Linked DNA regions of Anolis sagrei. The protein of the gene in region 2 purifies or fractionates together with the protein of the main gene of each other region. This does not show direct contact. Links are inferred from orthologs where the notes say so. Each region holds a gene or a part of one and is shown on either strand. Other genes may lie near its edges. The genes, in order: UBXN7, CUL2, COPS8 and ARIH1.

Region 1 (7,840 bases), on a different chromosome or scaffold from region 2:
TAGTGTCACATATAGGGAAGACTGTGAAACTATGTGTCTTTTCTCAAAGAGCGGTATGGCTGGTTATGATGTAAAAAAAGACAATTTTACAGGAAACCTGGATTGGCCAAACCATCCAGGAAATGCTGCTCCCCAGGAAACACTTATTTCTGTAACATCTGATAGCCAGCAAGACTGTAGCATTCCAACTTGCAACCAAGTAACAATGGAAAATAAAAATGAGTCACTAAAACTGATTACTACAGGGATTCCTAAGAGAAAATCTCAAGAATCACCCTCCGAAGCAGTGGTGGATTTGGTTATGAATGATAAAAGAAGAAGAACTTTTGCACAAATAGATGATGAAGATATGTATGATATACAACAACAAATACATTTGGAGCAGAAAATTTATGAAAGATATAAGCAAGAAGAAGAAGATAGACTTCTAGCTCTGAAGCTTCAGAGGGAAGTAGACAAAGAACAGAAAACACTAAACCGCAAAAAAGGCTCTCCAGATGAGTACCATTTACGCCCTAAAACATCTCAGTCCGAAAAGGAATCTCCGGTGCTTAGGAAACCTTGCAAGAATAGCCAGACTGACAGAGAACAACGAAAATTACGAAGAAGCTCTCATAATGAGAACCAGAAGCCCTCTAACAAACTTCAGACAAAGTCATCTCCAAAAGGAGGGAATGTTTTGAACTGTGTCCTTAACAGCCCTGCCTCTAAGAGTTCAGCATTATTGCCAAGCAAACAAAAAACGATCGTTCAGATGTTTAAGAGACCTGCAACCAACTAGCAGATCAATAGTTGATGTGAAGAATTATAGTATAGAAAGGGATTAAACAATGGACTTTGTCTTGAAAAATTGATCAGCTCCTCCCACTTACGTGGTTGAAAACCAGTAGTGCCTGCTCTGTAGCTGTTAGGTATGACTTCTTTTTCCTTCCTAGTACATGTATGGCATTAGGTAATTCTGAATGCCAGGAATATTTGCTTTAAGCTTCATGTACTATACATCTGGTAGTTTAGTGTCAGAATATGTAAACAAAGCAACTCCCTGTTACACCTCTACCTTGTAAATATATCAGAAAAGAGCAAATGGCTTTGATTTAGACTGGAGCATAATTTCTGATGCATTTATAGAAATATACTACCATTCCTGCTGTTTGTTTTGTTTACAAGTTACAAGATTTATATGTTAAATATTCCAGAAATCTTTCTCTATGGATGTTTGCAACAGATTACAAAGATGCCTTCAGGTATTCCCAAGTAGACTAGTTTTTCAGATTCATCAGTTTATAATTTGTTTAGAACATCATCAATTAAAATGACTTTTAAGTCTCTTGAGATTACAAATGTAGTGTCAATGGACTTCTTCTGAATGCATTTTGAAATATCTTTAGAAATTACTGGGAGTCAGAAGCTGTATTTGGATATATACACATAATGAGGTTTCTTGGAGATGATATCCAAGTCTATACACAAAATCATGTATGTCTCTTATACATCATATACCCATAGACTGAAGGTTATTTTATATAATATTTATAATTACTGTATTTCTTCAATTCTAAGATATACTTTTTCTGTGTAAATATCTCTAAAAATAGGGCGTGTCTTAAAATAGCAGGTGTGTATGTTATATATTTTTGTTGGTGGTGGTGCTGGTACTGAAATTAAACTGTGGCTTACACTCAGTGACATCTTACAATTGAAGAAATAGAAAACTTTATACATTAAACAAAATTTGTGTACAGTGAAATATCAGAAAGCAAAGATATTGCACAGTCAAGGCATCCGTGTGGGCCCTTTGGGATCCTGGAATATTTTGAGCATTCTGGAAATGGAATGCTCAAAATTATATTTATTAATTGAAGTACTTCTGCATACCTTTTCAACCCACAAAGTGAACAAATAAAAAGAAATTGGACAATACTGAGATTAAAAAATAAACATGCACTGAAATATTCTTCAACCCCTAAAAGCATGCTAAAATAACTCTGGAATCCATTTTTGAAATGATTAACTATGACTTTTTGACACTGAATACCATGTGGAACCAGTTTTTGTCTGTCTACTGCAGTGGTTCCCAACTTTTTTTTTTAACTAGGGACCACTCTCCAACGTTAGTATCAAAAGGGTTACTAATCAGTTTTTGATCAACTTTAGATTCGGTTTGGTTATTTGGGGTGCCAGTTCAGAAAATTGCATTGGATAGACCACATCTGCTCTAGTATCTGATACAGAACATACACCCAGTAGTCTCCATCTGCTTGCCCACAGAAAACCATATTTAATAATCTAGAGCTGATGTGGTAGTAGTAATTTTTTGTGGGTAGTCAGCCTCTCCCCTGTCAACATCCCCATTGCCTCACCATGAGACCAGTCACTCTCGTTGCCACGTGGTTTCAAGGCAATAGTGTAGTAATGGTGAGGCAGCTGATCATATTTTCATTCTTGCGGGCCACAGGTTGGGAACAACTAGTCTACCCGAAAGAAGTGAAGTCAGCCAAACTTCCTTGGGTAGGCAGCTCCCTAGTAGAGGTGCTGCCATAGGGAAATCCTTTACATGTAACCACCAACCTTGTGAATACAAACAGGATGTCTTCCAAAAATCTCAAATTTCTGGAAAAATCATAAGGCTAGAGATCTGCTATATCGGGGGGGGGGGGGCATTGTCTGCCCTCACAGGATTGTTGTCAGCTCCCTCACTAAAAACACCAAGCAAAGTGGACTTGCACTTGTTTCACACTCCACAAGTATAGCACTACAGGCCCTTTTTATTTGCTATGGCTGCTTCCAAAGAATCCAGGCATTTGTAGTTCGGCGTAGCTCTAGAATTCTCTTAAAAGAAAACTTGAAATACACCTCAAAATTCCAAATGTCACAGGTCCATAGAATGGAGCCAGGGGAGTGAAAGTGGCATCATAGTGCTATAACTAGTGTAAAAGATAACTTGAAGTCTTCAGATCAGCGCATTTTCCCAATTGGGTGTCCCTGAATGACAAGAATACGAACAACCTTTTTCAGTGGAACATGAAGAGAACAACAACTGTACACTCAATTTGATCCTTTCCACATCTGAATTATCAGATCACCAGCCTTGAAATCATCTACACCAGGCATGGGCAAACTTGGGCCTTCAGGTGTTTTGGACTTCAACTCCCATAATTCCGAACAGCTTCAGGCCCCTTCCTTTCCCCCTATATCTCATTAAATACATGACACAGTATATAAAATGGTAAAATCAAAGTTTTATTTTTGATTTTTTTAAAAAAAAAATCAAGCCATTGACAGTGGAATACATGGATGTGGAATTTGTGGATATGGAGGACCAGCTGTATATATAAATACAGATATTCCAAAACTCCTGATCCCAATTATTTATTTACTTACTTACTAGTAGTTATTAAAACTAGTAGTTAGGTTTTAATAACTACTTGTATTGGTTTTTAGTTTAGATTTTAAAATTTGTTGATGTTTGAAGTGTATAACCCCATGTTGTGATCTGGTCATTGATCATAATAAACTACTTACTTACTGTATTTATATCCCGCCCTTCTCGACCCTGAAGGGGACTCAAGGCAGCTTACAGTAGAGGCAAAATTCAATGCCTTAAGCAATTCAACAATTAAATATTTTGTTAAAATCTAAACGAGGTTAAAAGCATTTATTTATTTATTTATTTCATACACTTTGACTCCACCCTTCTCCCCCCAAGAGGGGACTCAGGGCAGCCTCACATAAACATTGTATGATGCTATCATCATATAAATAATAAACAATTACAATAAAACATTAAAACAATTCACTAAACAGTAAATTAGTCACGCTAGTTAAAACCAAATCCAAGTCTGGGAATTAAATCAATGTCGTAGTATCCAATTTTTCTTTCCAATTACTGCTGTCCACTAATTGCACGCCTGGTCCCAAAGCAAAGTCTTCAATTTTCTTCTAAAGGACAGGACAATTAAACATAAACAATACCCCTTACAGCTATAGAATCAAAGAGTTGGAAGAGGCCTCATGGGCCATCCAGTCCAACCCCCTGCCAAGAAGCAGGAATACTGCATTCAAATCACCCCTGACAGATGGCCATCCAGCCTCTGTTTAAAAGCTTCAAAAGAAGGAGCCTCCACCACACTCCAGGGCAGAGAGTTCCACTGCTGAACGGCTCTCACAGTCAGGAAGTTTTTCCTCATGTTCAGATGGAATCCCCTCTCTTGTAGTTTGAAGCCATTGTTCCGCGTCCTAGTCTCCAAGGAAGCAGAAAACAAGCTTGCTCCCTCCTTCCTATGACTTCCTCTGACGTATTTATACATGGCTATCATATCTCCTCACAGCCTTCTCTTCTTCAGGCTAAACATGCCCAGCTCCTTAAGCCGCTCCTCATAGGGCTTGTTCTTCAGACCCTTTATCATTTTAGTCGCCCTCCTCTGGACACATTCCAGCTTGTAAAATCCAGCTTGTAAAATCACGTTACCCACAATCAAGTATTTTGGATATGAAAAACTCAAACTTTATTTGAGAAACATCAGCTACAAATACCAGTGTACAGCTGAGAAGAAAAAGGAAAGGGCCTGAGGCTGTTAGGGATTGTGGGAGCTGAAGTCCAAAACACCTGGAGGAAGGCCCAAGTTTGCCCGTGCCTGCTCTCACGCCTCCTTTTTCTCAGTTTGGGGATTGGGTTCCGCCGGCCACTAGGGGGTGTCACGAGCTGGGAGGACCTGATAGCAAAAAGTTTAGCAAAGAGGGGCGGTGCTTGCGTGCTTTCCTCTTCCGGTGCTCAATACAGCCTGATGTTGAAATTGAAAGCTCGCCGGACGAATCGGGGCGCGGCGTTGTTTGCGCCTGCGCGGTGGGGTCGGCAGGTGGCGGGTCGGTGTTGTTCGGGGGAGAGCGGCGGCAAGATGGCGGCGCCCGGGGGCTCCGCTGCCGCCTCGGCGCTGAAGGGGTTACTCCAGCAATTCACCGCTATCACGGGTGAGCCGCACGAGCTGGGGAGGCCTTTGCGCTTTTGGGGAGCAGAAAGGAGAGAGAGTTTGGGGGAAAGAAAAGAAGGGGGTGGGGGCCCCCTCTCTCTCTCCCTCAATTGGGGCCTTGTGGTAGAAGCCGAGGCGCTGCCGAGTCTAGAGAAGTGCCTGTTGCGTAGGAGGAGCGGGAGGGACATTCCATTGGAGGAAAGGCGGGGCTGTTGTGTTGGAGAGGAAGGCGATGGGCACTCAGGCAGGCCACACACAGGGCAGCGCAGTGGGACAGTCTCCCCTCAAGCCCTGCTCTGTGTTGGGGAGCATCCAGGATGAAGGCAGTTTCACGCCACTTGAACTGTCATGGCTCAACGCTATTGCATTATGGGAGCTGTAGTTTAACAAGGCATTTAGATTTCTCGGTCAGAAAGTGCCGTAAATGAATACAGTTTCACACCACTTATAATGTAATTTCACAAGGCCTTTAGGTATTGTCAGAGAGTGCCATAAATGAATACAGTTTCATGCCACTTGAACTGTCATGGCTCAATGCTGTGGAATCATGGAAGTTGTAGTTTAACAAGGCATTTAGCTTTCTCTGTCAGAAAGTGCCAAAAATGAATGCAGTTTCACGCCACTTGACCTGACATGGCTCTATGCTATGGAATCACGGGAGCTGTAGTTTCACAAGGCCTTTAGGCTTTGTCAGAGAGTGCCATAAATGAATACAATTTCATGCCTCTTGAACTGTCACGGCTCAATGCTATTGCATTATGGGGGGGGGGGGTGTAGTTTAACAAGGCATTTAGCTTTTTCTGTCAGAAAGTGCCATAAATGAATACAATTTCATGCCACTTGAACTGTCATGGCTCAATGCTGTTGCATTATGGGAGTTTAACAAGGCATTTAGATGCTGTGGAATCATGGGAGTTGTAGTTTAACAGGGCATTTAGCTTTCTCTGTCAGAAAGTGCCGTAAATGAATGCAGTTTCACACCACTTGACCTGACATGGCTCCATGCTATGGAAATATGGGAGCTGTAATTTCACAAGGCCTTTAGGTTTTGTCAGAGAGTGCCATAAATGATTACAGTTTGATACCTCTTGAACTCTCATGGCTCAATGCTGTTGCATTATGGGAGTTGTAGTTTAACAAGGCATTTAGATTTCTCGGTCAGAAAGTGCCGTAAATGAATGCAGTTTCACACCACTTGTAATGTAATTTCACAAAATCTTTAGGTATTGTCAGAGAGTGCCATAAATGAATACAGTTTCATGCCACTTGAACTGTCATGGCTCAATGCTGTGGAATCGTGGGAGTTGTAGTTTAACAAGGCATTTAGCTTTTAGATTTCTCTGTCAGAAAGTGCCAGAAATGAATGCAGTTTCACACCACTTGATCCGATATGGCTCTATGCTGTGGAATTATGGGAGCTGTAGTTTCACAAGGCCTTTAGGCTTTGTCGGAGAGTGCCATAAATGAATACAGTTTCATACCACTTGAACTCTCATGGCTCAAGGCTGTTGCATTCTGGGAGTTGTAGTTTAACAAGGCATTTAGATTTCTCTGTCAGAGAGTGCTGCACATGAATGCATTTTCATGCCACTTGAACTGTCATGACTCAAATGCTGTTGCATTATGGGAGTTGTAGTTTAACAAGGCATTTAGATTTCTCTGTCAGAGAATGCAGTACATGAATGCAGTTTCACGCCACTTGAACTATCATGACTCAATGCTGTGGAATCATGGGAGTTGTAGTTTAACAAGGCATTTAGCATTCTCTTTCAGAAAATGCCGTAAATGAATGCAGTTTCACACTACTTGAACTCTCATGGCTCCATGCTATGGAATCATGGGAGTTGTAATTTCACAAGGTCTTTAGACTTCTCTTGTCAGAGAGTGCTGTACATGAATGCGTTTTGATACCACTTCAACTGCCAAGACAATGCTGTAGAATCATGGGAGTTGTAGTTTGGTGAGGCACCAGCATTCTTTAGCATTGATGGCTAAAGACCTTGTGAAACTCCAACTCCCATGATTTCACGGGAGTTTGTCACCAGTTGGCACTTCATAACATAGAAATCATGGGAGTTGTCACCAGTTGGCACTTACGCTATTCTCTCTCTCTCTCTCTTTCTCCCTTTTAATTATTATTATTATTATTATTATCATTATTATTATATTTATTTATATCCTGCTTTATCTCCCCCGAAGGAGACTCAGCATAGGTATTTAAAATACACAAATATACGAACATTAAAACAGCATTAAATATAACTAGTATTTAAAAATTCCCAGTCAAAAATCATTAAAACAAATTCAAAGCCTCCATGCTGAGACAGAGCTTTCCAGACATTTCATGTTGGTAACACATGTTTTAGACATGTATCACTTCATGGCACAGGAATAATAATAGTAGTAGTAGTAGTAGTAGTAGTAATGATAAACTTTATTTATATCCCACCATTATTTCCATGAAGGGATTTGGGGCAGTTTACAAAGGCACTCCAGGGTGCACACAACAGGTAAAAACAGTACATAAGTATAAAACAAGTCACATGAAATTATAACAACAACCCCTGTCAACACAGATAGCATAAAATCAAAATAATACAATTTTTAAAACAACAGATAAAACTAGCTACCATCAATTCACAAAGTACCAAGTCTTAACTTCATATGGGCCCATTCAGCCTACTCGAATTCAAAAGCCTGTTTGAACAGCCATGTTTTCAGGTTGGAACGGAAGGATTGAAGGGTGCGGGCTAATCTAATCTCTTTTGGGAGGGTATTCCAGAGCCGAGGGAGTCACCACCAAGAAGGCCCTCTCTCTTGTCCCCACCAACCGCGCTTGAGATGGTTTTACTAACAAACCAGAAGTTAAACCA
Region 2 (7,763 bases):
GTAAGTACCATGAGGTCAAGTGTGTCATGAGACAGTTCTCTCAACGCAAAAATCAAAATTAACTGTTACTGCTGGGTAATAGTTGCTTACAGTTTTGTAGTCTCTTCACATTTAGTGGATTAAATGGCTTACTTTCACAACTGTAGCTTGAGATTTTAAAAAAATCAAAATAGGGACAAATCAAGAGCGATCTGTTTTGGCCTTTGATTTGTGCCTATTGCCATTCATTTTTTAAAAAAATCTGACTCTCCTGGGCACAATACAAGCAGTTTTTTCAGTCCAGTTCAGTCTCAAGACACAGGATGCACCTATACTGTAGAATTAATGCTGTTTGAGAAATCATAACTGCCATGGCTTAATTTTGTGGAATCCTGGGAGATGTAGTTTGGTTAAATACACACTCTTTGGCAGGGAAGGCTAAAAACCTTGAATCATCCTCTCAAAATGTGGCAGGGGTGCAACTTTCGAATAAATAAAGACTATGGGAGCATTTACACTGTAGAATTCATGCAGTCTGACACAAATGTAAGTGTCATGGCTCAATGCCAAACAACGCCAAGAATACTATAGAAACCAGCCTAAGAAAGACTATAGTTTTGTCACTGCCCTACATTTTCTATACTTTTTTAATCTCAAGAACACTTAGTTTTCTCACTTCTGAAATGCAGTGGATTTCCAAAAGATTGGAAACTAATTTGCTGATATTGAGGAACAAGATTTCCTGTGTTGAGGACTGATTTTTAAAGGAGTTAGAGTTGTATAGAAGGTGTGTTAGGTTGCCACCTAGTGGTATTTTTGTTTTGACTCCTTTAAAAGTATTTTCGCGATTGCCTTCTTGGACGTAATACTTTCTAGACATGTAGGACTACAAATCCCAATCCAACAACTAAGGAATATGGGAGGTATAGTCCAATGCTTCTGGAAAATGCTACCTTGGGAAAGGCTAAACTGAAGCATAGATTTGTTTGGGAAAGGTGAATAAAGAATAGTTCATTTGTTCCAGAAAAAAGAGTTTTTGTTGACTAATAATAATAATGGTGCTCCATGCAGTCATGCTGGCCACATGACCTTTGAGGGTGTCTGTGGACAACTCCAGCTCTTCAGCTTCGAAATGGAGATGAACACCACCACCCGGAGTCAGACATGACTTGACTTAATGTCAGGAGAAACCTTTACCTAATAGTAACAATGTGGCTACGAGAATCCAGTGGTGAATATTAAGTGCAGAATTCTTTATTTATCTGTATGAGGACACAAAGAAGGATGCAGAAAAAAAGAATGTAAAAAAATTCTTCTTGTGTCTACAATTTTGACTATATTCAATTTTCAACAACATTTATTAAACCAAGCTTTTGAAGTTACAGATGTTCTTAGTCTTAAGATTCTGAGAAGGTCCTTTCTTGCCTCTGAAGAATCAAATGTTCTAGACATTAGAACCATATTCTTCAATATCAGTTTGAAACGGCATTAAATGGTAAGTGCAGATGGCCCCTTAGTGAGGACTCCAACCCACCCAGTAGTCAGATACTCAGAAGGCTTTCTTACGACAAAATCAGATATGGGACAGCTGCGGTAGCATAGTGGTCTGCATGTTGGACTAGGACACTGGCAGACCAGGGTTTGAATCTATTGTGAGAATCCCATAACCCGCCCTGCTAGACAAAAATGGCCTTATTAAGCCAGAAGCTCGCTGGACCCTACCCTGCCCCATTGACATCAGCGCTAGCATTGCACATGGTGGGTTTGAAACAAGTTCCTACTGATAAGAACTAGACAAAAGGAGGGTGCAGAGTAGAGGATACAGACCTTGATGTGAAATTGCCTGATTGTCTTAACCAACTCAGTCTGACAGTGATGGAGAGAAGCCCCAAAAGGGTGGCACAACCCTGTGAAACTATAAAAGCAAATGAACTATCACTGCTTGGGATATTGCCATTTTGGAGGCAACACTGGGAAAGTGAAAAGGAGAAACGCACCAAGAGGAAGGTGAGTCAAGTCAAGTAAACCTTTGTTCTGACTGCTTTCCATCTGGAAACCCATATCCTCAATGTGAAAGACTGTGTGGATTCAGAAAAGTTCACAGTCATTTATGGACCCACTTCCAAGACTCTTCATCTGGAAAACAATCGGTCAGGATGGATAATAATTTAATAATAATTTCTTACCCGCAAACCACAGACCACCTATTTAAATGCAGCCTAAGCCCTGCCACATTCACAATGGAGCATCTTTTTATAGCAACACCAGAGGACTGCAAGTGGCCAGCTACTAGTCAATGGACATTTAATAGAATGCCAAGTTTTTAAAACTTTGCCTTCAAAATGACGGTACCCCAAGCAGTGAAAGTTCATTTGCTTTCTCAAATACATTGGTTCGCTCCTGATACGATAAATAAATACCCACCTCTCCTCATGGCTCAAGGCAGGTTACAAAACAATTAAAATACATAAATGCAGCAAAACACTACAAATACACACAATAAAATGTACCTCCATAAAAGTTGCTTATGATGGTTTCATGAAGATATTATTATTATTATTATTGTTATTAATAATAATATCTTCATGAAACCATCATGAAACCATCTTCATGAAACCTTCATGAAACTGCCAAAATAGAATGGGGCTGCATTTCATCTAGGGCCTACCTTTACTATGAACTATCCCTCCACCGTCCCCAAAGCAACACGAGGCCTTCTGAATCTTGCTATAAATGCATATGAGCCTAGCCATACAGATTAATAAGGCATTTTACCTCCCTCCTGAAGGCATCAGATCCCTTCCGATATTGGAAACTGAGCAGGGCCAATCTTCATAACTATGTTGATAGGACAGGGTTTTTTTTCTGTGTCCTGAGCAACTTGAGAATTTGCAAGTGAGAGAATTGGCCGTCTGCAAGGACATTGCCCAGGGGACACCTGGATGTTTTGATGTTTTACCATCCATGTGGGAGGGTACTCTCATGTCCCCACATTGAGAGCTGGAGCTGATAGAGGGAACTCAACCTGCTCTCCCTGGATTTGAACCTCCAACCTGTCGGTCTTCAGTCCTGCCGGCACAAGAGTTTAACCCATTGTACTCCCAGGGGCTTCATGGGACAGGGTATATTTTGGAGAAAAGAAGTGACAGCAAAAGTATGATAGCTGGGACTCAACGCTACCCTAGTTACATAACACGGCTCTGAATTAAGGAAGGGAAGAGGTGCACAAGACAGCAGAGCGAGTGAGAGACGCAGCTGCGTCAGAGTCCTGGGAACTTTGCTCGCCAGAAAGGCGGAGAGGAAACATTTCTACCCCGTTTACCATCTTCGTAAGCCATTGTTTATAATTTAACAGTAAATAACTCTAAGGTACTTCACTCGCCTTAAGCAGTATGCTTGGCTGTTTGTTGTCCCCCACCCATCTTTTCTGACCCGCTTTGTGCATGTCTTCCCTTCATTAATTCTGCCCCGCATTGCGCAACCAGCGAAGGTTTCCAACTACTACTGTAGAATCCCAGCTGTCATACTTTTGCCGGTGACAATCTTTTCTTGCATAGGAGCTTCAGGGAGCTGTAGTAGGCTGTTAGGAATGGTGGGAGTTGAAGTCCAAAACACCTGGAGGGCCCAAGTTTGCTCATGCCTACCCTATAGACCATAAATAAAGTATTATTATTATTATTATAGGAAAACTCACAATTTAAATTCATGGGAATTTATTTGTCGTGTCAGAGCAGCCAGTCCATTATATTACATTTCTAACAGAACAAAGCAAACAAACAGAAAAATACACAACTTGTGAGTTTGGTAGCTGGTTAAATGTCCTTTGACCAGTATCTGGCCACTTGGAGTGCTTCTGGTGTTGCTGCAAGAAGGTCCTCCATTGTGCATGTGGCTGGGCTCAGGTTGCATTGCAGCAGGTGGTCAGTGGTTTGCTCTTCTCCACACTCGCATGTCGAGGATTCTACTTTGTAGCTCCATTTCTGAAGGTTGGCTCTGCATCTCGTGGTGCCAGAGCGCAGTCTGTTCAATGCCTTCCAAGTCGCCCAGTCGCCCAATCCCATGAATTGCTGGTCGCTTCTGGCCACAGATGCGACCAGCAATTCATGGGAATGCCATACGCCGACACAACCCCCTGAAGACACAACCAATAAAGAACAACACCCACAAAACAGGGAATTCCAGACAGGAAACATTCAGGGCCAGCTAACACCTCCCAACAAAGGATCCCCCAGGCTTTGAAGCTGCAATGCTATTCAATACTAATCAAGGTGGACAATTGCAACATTCACACTTGCCTCAAGCAGACAAGAGTTTTCTTCCATCCTGGACATCCCACAGATAGATAATCCTCACTTGCCTAGTTTCCAACAGACTTCACACCCTCTGAGGATGCCTGCCATAGATGTGGGCGAAACGTCAGGAGAGAATGTTTCTGCGACATGGCCAGACAGTCCTGAAAACTGACAGCCACCCAGTGATTCCGGCCATGAAATCCTTCGACCACACAGGCCATTCGGGGAAGCCTAAGGGCTGCGGCCTCTCCTCTCCCTCTCAGTCCCTCCTCGTGTCTTCAAAGGCCTCTCCTCCATCCTCCTCGCTCCCTTCGACGTCGACAAACCTCCACATTTCACCTCCATTCAATAACAATCTTCTCCGTCTCCCGTTACATTGAGAAAGCCGAAGAAGCCTTCAGCGCATGCGCACTCCCCTCCCCTTTCCATCCGAAGGAAGCTCTCACTTATTTATTTAATTTGCCGGAGCGGAAGTGGGCCAGCAGGTTGGCCCTCGGCGCTTTCCGTAGTTCAGGAAGTACCAATTCTCTTCATGCTCGGCGGGGGAGGAAGGCCAAGGCGTGCACCTCTTCTCACGGAGCCTGACCTAGTCGACTTAGATGGAGGCTGTGGCGCGTCCAGAATAGAAGTCTTGAGAGGGAGAGAAGGAGAGAAGGCCGGCTCCTTGTCGGCTGCCAGAACTCCCGCCTTCCCTCCCTCTTTTCCTCGCCTGCTTCGCGGTTGCGCCGGGCTGCTGGGAAGGCAGTGGGCGGGGTCAACGGGCAGCCGTGGCGGCTGGGTAATGGCAGCCCAGTGAAGAGGCTTCGGGGCGGCCAGAGAGAGAGAGACAGAGAGAGAGACGGCGGAGGGGGAGGACGGGGAGACGACGCGGGCCCGGGCCTCTCCTGTTGCCAGGTAACCCCGCGAAGGAAGGAAGGAGGGGAGGGACCCCGCCTTCTGACCCCCCCTCCCTCCCTCCCCACACCCCTTGGCCGCCTCTTCCTCCTCCTCTGGGGCGCCCCGTGCATTCTTTCCCTGCAACACCATGGCCCGACTTTGGCCTCCTCCCCCTCTCACTATATCTCTCTACTATAGTAGATCTGGGCAAACTTGGGCCCTCCAGGTGTTTTGGACTTCAACTCCCACCATTCCTAACAGCCTACTACAGCTCCCAGAAGCCTCCAGCCTGCCAGGGGCTTCTGGGAGCTGTAGTAGGCTGTTAGGAATGGTGGGAGTTGAAGTCCAAAATACCCAAGTTTGCCCAGGCCTACCCTATAGACCAGTGGTTCTCAACCTAGGGGTTGCGGGGGTGGGGGGTGGGGGGGTTGTCAGAGGAGTCGCCAAAGACCTTCAGAAAACACAGTATTTTCTGTAGGTCGAGGGGGTTCTGCATGGGAAGTTTGGGCCAATTGTATCGTTGGTGGGGTTCAGAATTCTCTTTGATTGTAGGTGAACTATAAACCCCAGCAACTGCAGACAAGGGTTCTTTCTCCCACCCTGGACATTCCACAGATATATAAACACCACTTGTCTATTATATATTATTATTTATTAACTTTATTTGTACCCCGCTAGCATCTCCCGAAGGACTCGATGCGGCTTACATAGGCCAAGGCCTCAAAACTCAACATAACAATACAACACCTAAAGCAAATTAAAAACAGTTAAAGCAATATTAACAACAAGCAATAAACAATACATCAAGACACTATAAAACTGGGCCGGGCCAGAGTAATGGGTACAAGATTAAAAGTGCTGATGTGACAGGAGGTATGTGGGATTATAGGGTAAGTGCAGTGTGCAGCAATCTTAGTTCTACTAAAGTGCTTCTGGGACTTCGTATTGGAGATTTCTAATCTGGAAAGGCACATCGGAACAGCCAGGTCTTCAAGTTCTTTCTAAAGACTGCCAATGTAGGGGCCTGTCTAAGATCTTTTGAAAGGGTGTTCCACAGTTGGGGGGCCACCCAAACTTGTCTAGTTTCCAACAAACCTCACAAACTTTGAGGATGCTTTATTGTGTATTATTTTGATATGTTTTACTCACTTGAGGCATTGAATGCTTGCCTTTTTGTATGTATAAACTTTATGATGAGAGGGTAGTCTAGAAATAAAGGTTTGATTATTATTATTATAGATGTGGGTGAAACATCAGGAGAGAATGCTTCTGGAACATGGCCATGCATCCTGGAAAACTCACAGCAATCCTTTGCTCTTCTTTTCTCTCTCTGTGTTGCTTGTTGCCTGTCAAAATACTTATAGGTAATACGTTTCATGCACTTTCTTTGCATCGCTGCAGGTTGGGTTCAGACAAAGTTAGGCTCCATTGAAACCAGTGAAACTTCAAAGCTCATCTAGCTTAGTCTGGATTCAGCCTTATGAGTCCAGGCATTTATGAAAATAACTTAGATGTGTTGTAGTCAAGTAGGCTCCTTGTTCTCGCTTCAGAAACCACAAGAAGTCTGTAGTATATATCACTGAACGACTGGAGGAAGGGATGATGCTGTTCAATCCACCATTTCTGGTTTGCTTTCATTTCAGGTCATAAAATGAGATAAAAAGTGATGGTTATAGGAATCCTGGGAGTAGGAAGTACAACTTACTTGTGACCCCATAGCAAACTCATTCAGGTTTGTTCTCTGATACCGTTGAACATAGGACCAGGTTTAAATGGTTTGAAGGTAGGAGAATAGATTTTCATTGAACATTAGAAAAAAGTTCTTAAGAGCTGTCCAGGACTGGAATAATCTACCTAGAAATATGATGGAATCTGTTTCTCTGGGAATCTTCAGAAAGAGACTGGACAAGCTACCTGCTAGAGATGGGAGTTGGTTAGATGCCGTGACTTATGGAGCCCTTCTAGTTCTAATGATTCATTACATTATCTCAGCAAAACAATATAGATGTTTTGCTCTTCAAAACAACTAGCTGCCATTTATTTACAGTTTGTATCTATAATTTGGAACCTTAAAACATCCATAGCATATTTGTTTAATTCAGAGCTCTTTTTGCTTCAAAAAAGAAAATCTACAGAAATTATCTGTAGAGGCCTGAATTAAAGGTATGAACAGCTGTAGCAAACATAATTATTGTATCACCTGTGTGTATTCTAGGTCAGTTCTTCTCAAGAATCCTGGCATGGAAAATCAGCAGTTTTTCCTAGGGGACTGGTATCCTATGTGTGTCCATTAGCTACAATTATGTCTCTCTGTCTTTCTTTCAAATTCACCAAAGACCAGCATTCAGTGACTCAAAATGGCACAAGTACTATCACTTTGAGCTATGCTGTTCTAGGAAACCTCTTTTAGAAAGGCTCTTGGAATGATGTACATACAAAAAGGGGGGGGGGGGGATTCTGACTGCTACATATCATAAGTCAGGAGTGCAATACCTTTATTCCCAGTCACCAACTGGAAACTGTAGTAACAACAACAAAAGTTAAGTTTGTCGCATTATCTTTAACTCTAGGTATTACTCCTTTTAGATTTTGAAATATCTCCATGAACTGAAATTA
Region 3 (7,815 bases), on a different chromosome or scaffold from region 2:
CTTTAAACACCTACCTCTTCCTTTACTTGAAATATTCTTAGAAATGATAGTAGAAAGAGAACCAAGGAGATAAATACAAAGTGTGGATTGAAAAGGCAAAGGCTAACTAAGGGAAAAGGCAGGGATATAACATAAATGAAGAAATAATAAGAAATGACAATGTTTTTAACATGACAATCCATTTATTTTCTTTTCAGCTCCAGTAGCAATTAGGAGTCAAGATGAATTGTCCTTTCCTGCTCGCAGGAGCAGCTCAGCTTTCCAGCACTTTAAGCTACCATTAAAATGACTCTGGAGTTTGTCTATATCTTGCTTGTTGTTATCCACTTCTAATTCATCTGCACCATTAATTAAATGTGATTGAGTAAGTTCAAGTTTTAACAATTCAAACAAGATAAGATTTAAAAAAATCACAGTAGCCCAATATAAGCTTTCATTAATTATGATCACTGGTGTTAGGGGCAATTAAAAGTGGGCATTCCAGCTTGTCAATATCTCTCTTCAATTGTGGTGCCCAGAATTGGACACAATATTCCAGATGTGGTCTAACCAAGGCAGAATAGAGCGTGGGTAGCATGACATCCCTGGATCTAGACACTATACTCCTATTGATGCAGGCCAAAATCCCATTGGCTTTTTTTGCCGCCACATCACATTGTTGGCTCATGTTTATTTATTTATTAATTATTCGAACTTATATACTGCCACTCCCCTGGGGCTCGGAGTGGCTTACAAGAACAGGCTAAAATCTAACACGATTTAAAAACAATTTACAACAATTTAAAAACAGCAATATCAAAAATCAAAGGCCTGTCGAAACAGGTATGTCTTACATGCCCTGCAGAAAGCTGATAAGTCCCTCAAGGCACGGACTTCAGGTGGCAGAGTATTCCAGCGTGATGGTGCCACTGCTGTAAAGGCTCTGCGTCTGGTTACTGTTAGACACAAGGTCTTGACATTGGGAATTTCCAACAAATCTTGGTCCTCAGAATGGAGGGATCTCTGGGGTTGGTAGGGGGTGTGGCGGTTCCTCAGGTACATCAGCCCCCGACCATGCAAGGCCTTAAAGGTAAGTACCATCACTTTGAAAGTGATCCGGTGCTCAATTGGTAACCAATGCAGCTGCAGTAAGATTGGTGTTATGTGGCATCTCATCGGAATTGTTGTCCATGAGAACTCCAAGATCTTTTTCACACATACTGCTCTCAAGCTAGGCGTCCCCCATTCTGTATCTTTGCATTTCATTTTTTCTCCCTAAGTGGAGTATCTTGCATTTGTCCCTGTTGAATTTCATTTTGTTAGTTTTGGCCCATCTCTCTAATCTGTTAAGATCATTTTGAATTCTCCTGTCCTCTGGAGTACTGGCTATCCCTCCCAATTTGGTGTCATCTCAAAACTTAATGATCCTGCCTTCTAACCCTTCGTCTAAGTCATTAATAAAGATGTTGAACAGGGCCCAGGACAGAGCCCTGCTTGTGGCACTTCGCTTGTCACTTCTTTCCAGGATGAAGAGGAAGCATTGGTGAGCACCCTCTGGGTTCGTCCGCTTAACCAATTACTGGTCCACCTCACCGTAGTTTTGCCTAGCCCGCATTGGACTAGTTTGTTTGCCAGAAGGTCATGGGGGACCTTGTCGAAGGCTTTACTGAAATCCAGGTACGCTACATCCATGGCATTCCCCACATCTGCCCAGCTTGTAACTCTATCGAAAAAAGAGATCGGATTAGTCTGGCATGACTTGTTTTTGCTAAATCCGTGTTGACTATTAGTGAACTCTCATGTTTCCACAGCACTGAGCCATGCCAATCAAAGTTGTATCATACAACACTATTATTTGACTGACACAAAAACACAGTATGTCACAGCAAATGAGAGATATATGCTGCATTATTATTATTATTATTATTATTATTATTATTATTATTATTTCTTACCCTCCTCTCCTCATGGCTTGAGGTGGGTTACAACATTGTTAAACCATACTTTCATCTAAAAACATTCTTTAAAATACCCATATTAAAACTTGTCTTAAGAAGGAGCCCCTGGTGGCGCAGTGGGTTCGAATCCGGGGAGAGGCGGATGAGTTCCCTCTATCAGCTCCAGTTTCTCATACGGGGTCATGAGAGAAGCCTCCCACAAGGATGATAAAAACATCAAATCATCCGGGTGTCCTTGAAGACTGACAATTCTCTCACACCAGAAGCGACTTGCAGTTTCTCAAGTCACTCCTGACATGACAAAAAAAAATCAGGTGCCTAAAGCAGATCGCTGTCATTTCCCTGCAACCAGCTCTCCATTTCTCCTTCCTCCAGCTCAACCTCTTCGGCAGGGAGATGGGCGGGAACTAAAGCCGTTGCTGTTGCAGTGGAGGCCTTCCCTTTTGCAACTTTGGGAGCAGGTGATGGTTTTTGGCTGGGGGGTTTATCACCCATGATCAGGCTTGTTCCTTTTGGGCATTCTGCCACCACCGGCCCTCGCACCCACATGTGAAGCATGTCCCTCGCCTTCCCTTCCTCTCTCTGCTCATCGACCAGCCTCTTGGGGAAGGGTGTCACATCCCTCCGGCTTGACCCACCGCTGGATGCCTGGTACGGCCCTCCTCTCTGGAACGACGCGGCATCTGCTCTTTGTTGTATTTCACTCTCCTGGCCAACATAATCCAATTGTCTAAGTTGTCTGGATTGCCAGGATACGGAAGAAAATGTTTTTAAGTACAAGAGGGAACTTTCTTACACAGGATGCTTGTGGTTAACTTCAAATGTTGTTTTTGAAGCGCAGAGGCTGCATATACAAGAAGGTACTTTCCATCAAAAAGTCAAGAGAGGGGGGTGGAAAGGGAGTACTTTTCCATGACAAAAAATGTTCTTGTTTACTTGAGGTTATATATTTGGTGGTCAAAAGCCAAGGGGGCACGGCAGTCATTTGAAGGGTAGCATCTGCGCATGCTGCCCGGCTGTCCGTCTTCTTCATGAAGAAACTAAAATAAAACCTTGTTTTTTAATCTTTCATTGGGACTGTCTTCTTCCTTCCGTGCTCCTGCAACGTGGACCTAAAACGACCCAATTTAGGGTTTCTAACACTACAAAGCGTAGAGCTTTTTCGACCTATGCTCCAATTCTGTGGAACTCATTGCCTCCATACATTAGAGCAATGTCGGAGTTGCGACCTTTTGTAAAGGCACACAAGACTTGGTTGGTTGTGCATTTAAGTAATCAGATCTAATTTGCCAAATAGTCACTGTTGTATGTTTTTATGTTGAATGTTTTTATATTGTGTAAATGCTATTTTAGATTGTAAGTCGCTCGGAGCCCCTTGGTGGAGAACGACTAATTAAGAAATAAAGTGAAGTGAAGTGAAGTCACAGTGAATTCTATAGTACAGGGGTCCTCAAACTAAGGCCTGGGGGCTAAATACGACCCTCCAAGGTCATTTACCTGTTCCTCGCTCAGAGTCAATCTAAGTCTGAAACGACTTGAAAGCACACAATAACAACAATCCTATCTCATCAGCCAAAAGCAGGTCCACACTTCTCATTGAAATACTAATAAGCTTATATTTGTTAAAATTGTTCTTCATTTTAATTATTATATTAATTTTACGTGTTTTTTGCATTACAGTTAATATATGTGCACTGTACATATGAATTCACTCATGTTTTTTTTTTCAAATTATAATCCGGCCCTCCAAGTTTGAGGGACTGAGGGAGACTGAGGGTCTGGAGAACAAGCCTATGAGGAGCGGCTTAAGGAGCTGGGCATGTTTAGCCTGAAGAAGAGAAGGCTGAGAGGAGATATGATAGCCATGTATAAATATGTGAGAGGAAGCCACATGGAGGAGGGAGCAAGCTTGTTTTCTGCTTCCCTGAAGACTAGGACATGAAACAATGGCTTCAAACTACAAGAGAAGAGATTTCATCTGAACATAAGGAAGAACTTCCTGACTGTGAGAGCCGTTCAGCAGTGGAACTCTCTGCCCCGGAGTGTGGTGGAGGCTCCTTCTTTGGAAGCTTTTAAACAGAGGCTGGATAGCCATCTGTCAGGGGTGATTTGAATGCAATATTCCTGCTTCTTGGCAGGGGGTTGGACTGGATGGCCCATGAGGTCTCTTCCAACTCTTTGATTCTATGATTCTATGTGTCCAGAGGAGGGTGACTAAAATGATCAAGGGTCTGGAGAACAAGCCTATGAGGAGCGGCTTGAGGCTCATGTTTAGCCTGAAGAAGAGAAGGCTGAGAGGAGATATGATAGCCATGTATAAATATGTGAGAGGAAGCCACGGGGAGGAGGGAGCAAGCTTGTTTTCTGCTTCCTTGGAGACTAGAACGCGGAACAATGGCTTCAAACTACAAGAGAGGAGATTCCATCTGAACATGAGGAAGAACTTCCTGACTGTGAGAGCCGTTCAGCAGTGGAACTCTCTGCCCCGGAGTGTGGTGGAGGCTCCTTCTTTGGAAGCTTTTAAGCAGAGGCTGGATGGCCATCTGTCAGGGATGCTTTGAATGCAATATTCCTGCTTCTTGGCAGGGGGTTGGACTGGATGGCCCATGAGGTCTCTTCCAACCCTTTGATTCTATGATTCTATGACTGTGACCTGGCCCTCTGTTTAAAAAGTTTGTGGACCCCTGCTATTTTAGATGCACTATCAACCGGCTAAAACTTTAAATGCGGGTCACGCGGCATTCTTCCCTTTTTCTATCTCTATGGTCCTGAGCGTTCTCCTAAAGCGGGACCCGCTCGTCACAAACTGGCGAATCGCTGGAGAGGATTGGGGAGACGTCACCACGGTGAGGCCGGAAGTACGTAGCAGCGTGCGGTGGTCCCACCTCCGTCTCCAGGAAGCACCCGTCTTCCCGCTTCATCGGCGGGAGTGGGACAGGGTGCGAAGATGCCAGTGGCCGTGATGGCGGCGGCGGCGAGTGGCGCCTTCAGCTACCGGAAGCTGCTGGAGCAATGCGAGACTCAGGAGCTGGAGGTCAGGAAGGGAACCGGGCGTGGAATAGGCTTTCCTCGCCTCTCGCTTTCGAGTCTGGGACGGGGCCCTCCTCGTCACCCTCACAAACCCAGGGTTTGACCGTCTCGCCTGAAAGCCGGGGTTTCCCTAGGCCGAAGGAGCAAAGTGGGAATGAATGGGCCGCCCTCACCAGTTCCTCTATGGACACATGCTAGAATGAGTGCGGTTGGCTACCATGGCTTAATTCTGGGACGCATGGAAGTGGTAGTTCTACAAGGCCTTTTAGCCTCCTCTGCCGAGTGTTTCAATAAACTACAAACACTGTGATTCCAGAGCATTCAGCCATGTGGTGTCCCCTTCACTGCTATATAATCCACATTATCAAAGCAGATAGTCCACAATATTTGCTTCGATTATATGAGTCTACATTGCTAAATAATCCAGTTCAAAGAAGATAGTCTGGATTTATATGGTATTTATTTATTATTATTTGTCGTGTCAGTGCAACCAATCAATTATATTACATTTCTAACATAACAAAGCAAACAAACAGACAAAATACAAAATTTGTGAGTTTGGTAGTTGATTAAATGTCCTTTGACCAGTATCTGGCCACTTGAAGTGCTTCTGGTGTTGCTGCAAGAAGGTCCTCCATTGTGCATGTGGCAGGGCTCACGGTGCATCACAGCAGGTGGTCAGTGGTTTGCTCCTCTCCACACTCGCATGTCGTGGATTCCACTTTGTAGCCCCATTTCTGAAGGTTGGTTCTGCATCTCGTGGTGCCAGAGTGCAGTCTGTTCAGCGCCTTCCAAGTCGCCCAGTTTTCTGTGTTCCCAGGGGGGAGTCTCTCATTTGGTATCAGCCATCGGTTGAGGTTCTGGGTTTGAGCCTGCCACTTTTGGACTATCGCTTGCTGAGGTGTTCCAGCGAGTGTCTCTGTAGATCTTGGAAAACTATTTCTTGATTTAAGTCGTTGACGTGCTGGCTGATACCCAAACAGGGGATGAGCTGGAGATGTCTCTGCCTTGGTCCTTTCACTATTGGCTGCTACTTCCCGGCAGATGTCAGGTGGTGCAATACCAGCTAAGCAGTGTAATTTCTCCAGTGGTGTAGGGCGCAGACACCCCATGATAATACGGCATGTCTCATTAAGAGCCACATTTTATATGGTAGTGTATAAACTTTCTCAAACTGCATTCCTTCCACAGTATGGATGCACCTATAGTTTTTAAAACACAGTTGCCGTGATTTCAAAGAAATTCATATGAATGAAGAGCAGCGTTTCTCAAACTAGCTCTGCTCTTCCAGGTCTTTTGGACTTCAGATCTCAAAAATGCTAACAGTTTACCAGCTGTTAGGAATTGTGGGATCTGAAGTCCAAAACATCTGGAGGAATACAGTTTGAGAAACTCAGATTAGAGAAAAACATCTCATGAGATGTGATCTTCTTGGTATTTGTATAGCTGTGCCCTGCCACGCGTTGCTGTGGCCTATAGTAAAACTTATCAAAGTTGAGGTAGATATCTGGACTATTATGAAAGAGAGGTCCCTACCTATTCCTTCCCCCTTTTCCTCCCCCTTTCTCTCCTTTCTTCCTTCTCTACCTCTTTCTTTCTTTCACTACTTGGTTTCATCCTTCTCTCTTTCCTTCATTCCCTCCCCCTTTCTTCCTTTGCCTTTCTTCCCTCCCTGTTTGCTTCCTTCTTTCACTTTTTATTTCCTTTTATTTCACCAGCATCATAACAATAACAATAATGCAATGCATTGCCTCCGGGACCTGACACCTCTCCCATTCCCCCTAAAAGGGTCTCATAGGAATAATAGCATCATAATAATCATAGAAATAACAACCTTTACCCGCCACGTGTTGCTGTGACCAACCTTCCCTCTTTCTCTCCTTCTTTCCCTCCTTCCTTCCTTCCCTCCCATCTTTCCTTCTCCTCTTCCTTCTCTATCTCCTTCCTTCCCCCTTTTTCTTTCTCTTCTGGCCTCTTTCCTTCCTTCTCTCTTTCCTTCTTTCCTTCCCTCCCTCTTTCTCTACATCTTCCCCCTTCCTTCACTCCCTCTTTCCTTCCTTCATTCCCTTTTTTCTTTCCTTCTCTCCTTCCTTCCTTCCCCCTTTTTCTTTCCCTCCCTCTGTCTCTCATTTCTTCCTTCTCTACCTCTTTCCTTCCTTCCCCCTTTTTCTTTCTCTTCTGCTGTCTCTCTTTTCTTTCCTTCCATCTTTCCTTTTCTTCTTCCTTCTTTCTCTAACTTTCCTTCCTTCCCCCTTTTCTTTATCTCCCTTTCTCTTTCTTCCTTCTTTCCTTCCTTCCTGTCTTTCCTGGATTTTGACAGGGCGGGAAGGGGTGCGGTGGGGTTTGGAGGTGGCATGAAGTAAAAGGAGGTAAGATTGGGGCAGGCGAGTGATGGAGCGTGAGGTTGTGTGTGTGTGTGCGGCAGCGGGGGGAGTGATGGAGCGTGGGGTTGCGTGTGTGTGTGCGGCAGCGGGGGGGAGTGGGGTTGCGCGTGTGTGTGTGGCGGTGGGGGAGTGATGGAGCGTGGGGTTGCGTGTGTGTGTGCGGCGGGGGAGTGATGGAGCGTGGGGTTGTGTGTGTGCGTGCGGCGGGGGTGTGTGTGCGGGAAGCGGCGCGGCGGGGCTTGGAGTGGGCATGGCTTCCGCAGAGGGAACTGTGTGCGCGCGCCAGGGAACTTGCGGCTGGGCACCAATGCGCATGCTCAGTTGTTTTGCCATTTTGTGAGTGTGTTGTTGTGTTGTTTTTCATTTTGAGTAGATATGTTTGTACCTTATGGGTTGTGTTATGGGCATGGGAATTTTGGTTAAGTTTCGTTGGGGGGTTTGTGAGTTTTGTTGATTTGCCGTTT
Region 4 (6,999 bases), on a different chromosome or scaffold from region 2:
GTATGTGAACTTTTGGGACTCACATACTATGTGTGTGTGTGAGCATATATATATATACATATATATATATAGAGAGAGAGAAAGCATCAAATAAATAATTGCAACACTCACAAAAATAGAAATATATATATATAGTTTTTCATACATATAGCTTTATATAAATATAAATATGCAATATATTATACATAAACACACATATATACTATACACAACACACACACATATACACATACACAACATATATAGTGCACTGCATATTTATGTCTATATATGTCTCTATATAGACATATATATGAAAAATAATGTGTTTGTGTGTATATATGAGGTGTGTGTTATATACAACATATATATGCATAGATTATGTGTATATATATATATGTATGGTATACTGCATATTTATATTTATATATAGACATATATGAATAACTATGTTTGGTGTTGTGTATGCATATATATATATATGTTGTGTGCATATATAGGTATGTATAGTATACTGTATATTTATATATAGACATAGATATAAATATAAATGTCTATATATAGACATATATATTAAAAACGATGTGTTGTGTGTTTATGTGTGGTATAGGTATGTATATATACACAAAACATATACATACATATACACATAACACAAATATCGTGCTTCTATATATATATAGAATACTGCACTTATATAGACATATATATGAAAAGCTATGTGTTGTGTGTATATGCATATATGTTGACTGTTTATATAGTTATGTATAGTATTTTGCATATTTATATATGTGTATATATGTGATATATGTGTTGTGTATATGTTGTGTGCTCAAGTATATATATCTATATACACAAACATATATACGCACATGAGAAACTAGGCCAACCCGAATTGCCTTCGGGCTGAGAGAGGCGGTATATTATATAGTTTTTCATATATGTCTATATATAAATATAAATATGCAGTATACCATATGTTGTTGTTCATTCGTTCAGTCGTCTCCGACTCTTCGTGATCTCATGGACCAGCCCACGCCAGAGCTCCCTGTTGGCCGTCACCACCCCCAGCTCCTTCAAGGTCAGTCCAGTCACTTCAAGGATGCCATCCATCCATCTTGCCCTTGGTGGGCCCCTCTTCCTTTTGCCTTCCACTTTCCCCAGCATCATTGTCTTCTCCAGGCTTTGCTGTCTCCTCATGATGTGGCCAAAGTACTTCAACTTTGTCTCTAGTATCCTTCCCTCCAGTGAGCAGTCGGGCTTTATTTCCTGGAGGATGGACTGGTTGGATCTTCTCGCAGTCCAAGGCACTCTCAGCACTTTCCTCCAACACCACAGCTCAAAAGCATCGATCTTCCTTCGCTCAGCCTTCCCTAAGGTCCAGCTCTCACATCCGTAGGTGACTACAGGGAATACCATGGCTTTGACTAGGCGGATCTTTGTTGCCAGTCTGATGTCTCTACTCTTTACTATGTTATCGAGACTGGACATTGCTCTCCTCCCAAGAAGTAAGCGTCTTCTGATTTCCTGGCCACAGTCTGCATCTGCAGTAATCTTTGCGCCTAGAAATGGAAAGTCTGTCACGGCCTCCACATTTTCTCCCTCTATTTTCCAGTTGTCAATCATTCTTGTTGCCATAATCTTGGTTTTTTTGATGTTTAGCTGCAACCCGGCTTTTGCGCTTTCTTCTTTCACCTCGATTAGAAGGCTCCTCAACTCCTCCTCGCTTTCGGCCATCAGAGTGGTGTCATCTGCATATCTGAGGTTGTTAATGTTTCTTCCAGCAATTTTCACCCCAGCCTTGCATTCATCAAGCCCCGCACATCGCATGATGTGTTCTGCATACAAGTTAAAAAGGTTGGGTGAGAGGATGCAGCCTTGCCGTACGCCTTTCCCAATCTTGAACCAGTCTGTTGTTCTGTGGTCAGTTCTGACTGTTGCTACTTGGTCCTTGTACAGATTCCTCAGGAGAGAGACAAGGTGGCTTGGGATGCCCATCCCACTAAGAACTTGCCACAATTTATTATGATCCACACAGTCAAAGGCTTTAGAATAGTCAATGAAGCAGAAGTAGATGTTTTTCTGAAACTCCCTGCCTTTCCCCATTATCCAGCGGATATTGGCAATCTGGTCTCTCGTTCCTCTGCCTTTTCTAAACCCAGCTTGAACATCTGGCAACTCTCGCTCCATGTATTGCTGGAGTCTTCCTTGCAGGATCTTGAGCATTACCTTACTGGCATGAGAGATCAGGGCCACTGTACGGAAGTTTGAGCAGTCTTTCGCATTTCCCTTTTTTTGGTATGGGGATATAAGTTGATTTTTTCCAGTCTGATGGCCATTCTTGTGTTTTCCATATTTGCCGGCATATGGCATGCATCACCTTGACAGCATCATCTTTTAAGATTTTAAACAGTTCAGCTGGGATCCCGTCGTCTCCTGCTGCCTTGTTGTTAGCAATGCTTCTTAAGGCCCTTTCAACCTCACTCCTCAGGATGTCTGGTTCTAATTCATTCACCACACCGTCAAAGCTATCCTCGATATTGTTATCCTTCCTATACAGATCTTCTGTATAGTCTCGCCACCTTCTCTTGATCTCTTCAGCTTCTGTTAGGTCCCTGCCATCTTTGTTTCTTATCATACCAATTTTTGCCTAAAATTTACCTCCAATGTTTCTAATTTTCTGGAAAAGAAATTGTCCTTCCTATTCTGTTGTCTTCTTCCACTTCCATGCATTGCTTATTTAAAAATAGTTCCTTATCTCTTCTGGCTAACCTCTGGAATTGCGCATTTAACTGGGCATATCTTCCCTTATCCCTGTTTCCTTTTGCTTTCCTCCTTTCTTGGGCTACTTCCAGTGTCTCAGCAGACAACCATTTTGCCTTCTTTGTTTTCTTTTTCTTTGGGACGTACTTTGTTGCCGCCTCCTGAACAATGTCTCGGACTTCTGTCCATAGTTCTTCTGGGACTCTGTTTACTAAATCTAGTCCTTCAAATCTGTTCTTCACTTCCACTGTATATTCGCTAAGAATGTTAGTAAGATCATATCTAACTGGTCTGTGTATTTTCCCTGATCTCTTTAGTTTTGTTCTAAATTGAGCAATAAGAAGTTCGTGATCTGAGCTACAGTCAGCCCCAGGTCTTGTTTTCACCGACTGGATGGATGTCCGCCACAGTGATCCAAATATACGCCCCAACCACAGCTGCTGAAGAAGCAGAAGTAGATCAGTTCTATGAGGATCTGCAGGACCTACTGGATAATACACCAAAAAGAGACATTACTTTCATTACAGGAGACTGGAATGCCAAGGTGGGAAGTCAAATGACAACAGGGATCACAGGCAAGCATGGTCTGGGAGAACAAAATGAAGCGGGACGCAGGCTGATAGAATTTTGCCAGGAAAACTCGCTGTGTATAACGAATACTCTCTTCCAACAACCTAAAAGACGGCTTTACACCTGGACTTCACCAGACGGTCAACACCGAAATCAGATTGACTACATCCTTTGCAGCCAAAGGTGGCGGACATCCATCTATATACATACAATAAGTATTATATAATATATTATATATATTATATATATGTTATTATATAATATAAAATAATATTATATATAAGTAATAAATATTGTATATACATACAATATATATGTATACACACACACACACACATATATGTATATGCATACAATATATATCTATATACATACAATAAGCCAACTCGGCTGGCCCTTCCCCCATGCCAATTTATAAATGTCATCCCCTTTCGCTGTGCCACACCCAAGATGGTGGGCCGCAGCCACTCCCTTCCTGAGAGTCGGTTGAAGAAGGCGCGCCCTCCGGCTCCACAAGATGGCGGCGGCAAGGCAGGCTGGTGGTTCCCTTTCGTGCCACACTCAAGATGGCTGCCGACGGACTGCGCTTGAGGAGGCGAAAGGGGGCGGGGCGTGTTGCGTTCCCTTCCCGCCCTTCGGCGCGGCGGCGGCGTCGTGACGCCACACGCGGCGTGGGGTTGCGTCCCCGTCCGCGCTGACGTGCGTGCGTGGAGGTGACGGAGCGGGCCGGACGCGTCCCTTTGTTGGCTCAGCGGCGCCTGGCAGAGGAGGAGGCGGCTTTGGGGAATCGCTCCGCCGAAGGAAGGCAGGCAGGCAGGCAGGCAGGAAGGAAGGCGGGCTAGGCCGCAGCCCTCCCTCGCGTCCCTCCCTCCCATCCTCCCGTCAGTCCCTCAGCCGGGGCCTGCCCGGCGCCTTCGCTCCTCCTCCTCGGCCTAGGCCTCAGCGGCCTCCTCCTCCTCCCCTTTCTCGCCGCCACCATGGACTCGGACGAGGGCTACAACTACGAGTTCGACGAGGACGAGGAGTGCAGCGAGGACAGCGGCGCTGAGGAGGACGACGACGACGACGACCCCGACGACGACCCCGACGACGGCAACCTGGACCTGGGCGAGGTGGAGCTGGTCGAGCCCGGCGTGGGCGGAGAGAGGGACGGCCTACTCGGCGGAGAGACCGGCGGGGGAGGCCTCGGGCCCGGAGGAGGGGGAGGCGGCGGCGGAGGAGGAGGAGGCCTCGGGGGAAGCAGCGGCCTGGGCGGGCCCGGCTCCGGAGGGGGACTAGGCCACGACCAGGAGGAGGACTACCGCTACGAGGTGCTCACGGCCGAGCAGATCCTGCAGCACATGGTGGAGTGCATCCGGGAGGTCAACGAGGTCATCCAGGTGCGCGCGCAGGGGCGGGCGGCGGGGGCGCGCTCCCTCGGCGGGAAGGAAGGAGGGATGGAGGGGTGGAAGGAAGGAGGGAGGCCTCCTCCTCCTCCAGGCATGCCTTTCTTCTCCCTCCAACCCTCCCTCCCTTGCTTTCTCTTCACCTTTTCCTGCATCTCTTTCCTATCCTTCTAATTCTTTCCATCCAACTCTTGAATCAGACTGATAGGAATTGTGGGAGTTGTGGTCCAAAACACTTGGTTCCTCCCCCTCCAGGCATGCCTTTCTTCTCCCTTGCTTTCTCAACTCTCCTCTTTCTGCATTCTTTTCCTATCCTTCTAATTCTTTATATCCAACTCTTGAACCAGATTGATAGGAATTGTGGGAGTTGTGACGCTCAACAATTCTTTATTGATTAGTCAATTTTGACCATATCAAAACATACAGAGAATTGTGGGAGTTGTAGTGCAAAACACATGGTACCTTCTCCTCCTGGCACACCTTTCTTCTCCCTCCCTTGCTTTCTCAACTCCCTTCTTTTCTCCTTTTCCTGCATCTCTTTCCTATCCTTCTAATTCTTTATATCCAACTCTTGAACCAGACTGATAGGAATTGTGGGAGTTGTAGTCCAAAACACTTTGTTCCTCCTCCTCCAGGCATTCCTTTCTTCTTCCTCAAACCCTCCCTTGGTTTCTCTACTCTCCTCCTTTTCCTGCATCTCTTTCCTATCCTTCTAATTCTTTATATCCAACTCTTGAACCAGACTGATAGGAATTGTGGGAGTTGTGACACTCAACAATTCTTTATTGATTAGTCAATTTTGACCATATCAAAACATACAGAGAGTTGTGGGAGTTGTAGTCCAAAACACTTGGTACCTCCTCCTGGCACACCTTTCTTCTCCCTCCCATCTTCCCTCACTTTCTCTACTCTCCTCTTTTCTCCTCCTCTTTCTTCATCTCTTTCCTATCCTTCTAATTCTTTATATCCAACTCTTGAACCAGATTGATAGGGTTTGTGGGAGTTGTAGTCCAAAACACTTGGTACCTCCGCCTCCTCCAGGCATGCCTTTCTTCTCCCTCCCACCCTCCCTTGCTTTCTCTACTCTCCGCTTTTCTCGACCTCTTTCTGTATCTCTTTCCTATCCTTCTAGTTCTTTATATCCAACTCTTGAACCAGTCTGATTAGAATTGTGGGAGTTGTAGTCCAAAACACATTTTTTAATTATTATTATTAACTTTATTTGTACCCCGCTAGCATCTCCCGAAGGACTTGATGCGGCTTACAAAGGCCAAGGCCTCAAAACACAACATAACAATACACAACCTAAAGCAAATTAAAAACAGTAAAGCAATATTCAACAACAAGCAATAAGACAATACACCAAGACACAATAAAACTGGGCCAGGCCAGAGTATTGGGTACAGATCAAAAGTGCTGATGTGACAGGTGATATGTAAGGATAATGGGGTAAGTGCAGTGTGCCAGCAATCTTAATTTCTAATAAAGTGCTTCTGGGACTTGTTGGAGGATTGCTATTCTGGAAAGGCACATCGGAACAGCCAGGTCTTCAAGTTCTTTCTAAAGACTGCCAACGTAGGGACCTGTCTAAGATCTTTGGGGAGGGTGTTCCAGAGTTGGGGGGCCACCACGGAAAAGGCCCTGTCTCGCATCCCCACCAGACGCGCCTGCAATGCAGGCGGAATTGCGAGCAGGGCCTCACCAGATGAATGAAGTGAGCGCGTGGGTTCATACACTGAGATGCGGTCACACAGGTAGGATGGTCCCAAACCGTTTAGGGCTTTGTAGGTAAGCACCTGCACCTTAGATTGGGCTCGGAAAATAAACAGCAGCCAGTGGAGCTCCTTGAACAGGAGGGTTGACATGGTACCTCCTCCTCCAGGCACACCTTTCTTCTCCCTCCCATCCTCCCTTGCTTTCTCTACTCTCCTCTTTCCTCCTGTTCTTCCTTCATCTCTTTCCTATAAATCATATAAATCTAATTATTTATATCCCACTCTTAGACCAGACTGATTGGAAATGTGGGAGTTTTAGTCCAAAACACTTGGGTGCCTGTTCGAACCTCTCCCTCACCACCTTCTGTTTCTTTCTCTCCTCCTCTCCTCCTCTTCCTTCATCTCTTTCCTATAAATAATAGAAATCTAATTATTTATATCCCACTCTTAGACCAGACTGATTGGAATTGTGGGAGTTGTAGTCCAAAACACTTGGTGCCTGTTTGAACCTCTCCCTCACCTCCTTCTGTTTCTTTCTCTCCTACTCTCCTCTTTTCTCCTCCTGTTCCCGCATCTCTTTGCTTTCC

The links.
Region 1: the proteins of CUL2 (region 2) and UBXN7 purify together in Homo sapiens (affinity purification with mass spectrometry; 6 studies listed by BioGRID and IntAct, with this or other methods). This does not show direct contact. The link is inferred for Anolis sagrei from reciprocal best matches to the Homo sapiens genes CUL2 and UBXN7.
Region 3: the proteins of CUL2 (region 2) and COPS8 purify together in Homo sapiens (affinity purification with mass spectrometry; 4 studies listed by BioGRID and IntAct, counting the BioPlex papers as one, with this or other methods). This does not show direct contact. The link is inferred for Anolis sagrei from reciprocal best matches to the Homo sapiens genes CUL2 and COPS8.
Region 4: the proteins of CUL2 (region 2) and ARIH1 purify together in Homo sapiens (affinity purification with western blotting; 3 studies listed by BioGRID and IntAct, with this or other methods). This does not show direct contact. The link is inferred for Anolis sagrei from reciprocal best matches to the Homo sapiens genes CUL2 and ARIH1.

Annotation. Positions count from the first base shown.
Region 1 is NC_090023.1:226,435,267-226,443,106, forward strand, and holds the start of UBXN7 (UBX domain-containing protein 7), read left to right. Parts: upstream 1-4,823; 5' UTR 4,824-4,895; coding exon 4,896-4,968; intron 4,969-7,840. Other genes in the region: E3 ubiquitin-protein ligase RNF168, read left to right, coding at 1-781. UniProt on the Homo sapiens protein: Ubiquitin-binding adapter that links a subset of NEDD8-associated cullin ring ligases (CRLs) to the segregase VCP/p97, to regulate turnover of their ubiquitination substrates.
Region 2 is NC_090026.1:114,119,531-114,127,293, reverse strand, and holds the start of CUL2 (cullin-2), read left to right. Parts: upstream 1-4,748; 5' UTR 4,749-5,165; intron 5,166-7,763.
Region 3 is NC_090021.1:163,148,417-163,156,231, forward strand, and holds the start of COPS8 (COP9 signalosome complex subunit 8), read left to right. Parts: upstream 1-4,799; 5' UTR 4,800-4,884; coding exon 4,885-4,971; intron 4,972-5,212; exon of another isoform or gene 5,213-5,419; coding exon of another isoform or gene 5,420-5,422; intron 5,423-7,815. UniProt on the Homo sapiens protein: Component of the COP9 signalosome complex (CSN), a complex involved in various cellular and developmental processes.
Region 4 is NC_090029.1:26,571,660-26,578,658, forward strand, and holds the start of ARIH1 (E3 ubiquitin-protein ligase ARIH1), read left to right. Parts: upstream 1-3,991; 5' UTR 3,992-4,289; coding exon 4,290-4,691; intron 4,692-6,999. UniProt on the Homo sapiens protein: E3 ubiquitin-protein ligase, which catalyzes ubiquitination of target proteins together with ubiquitin-conjugating enzyme E2 UBE2L3.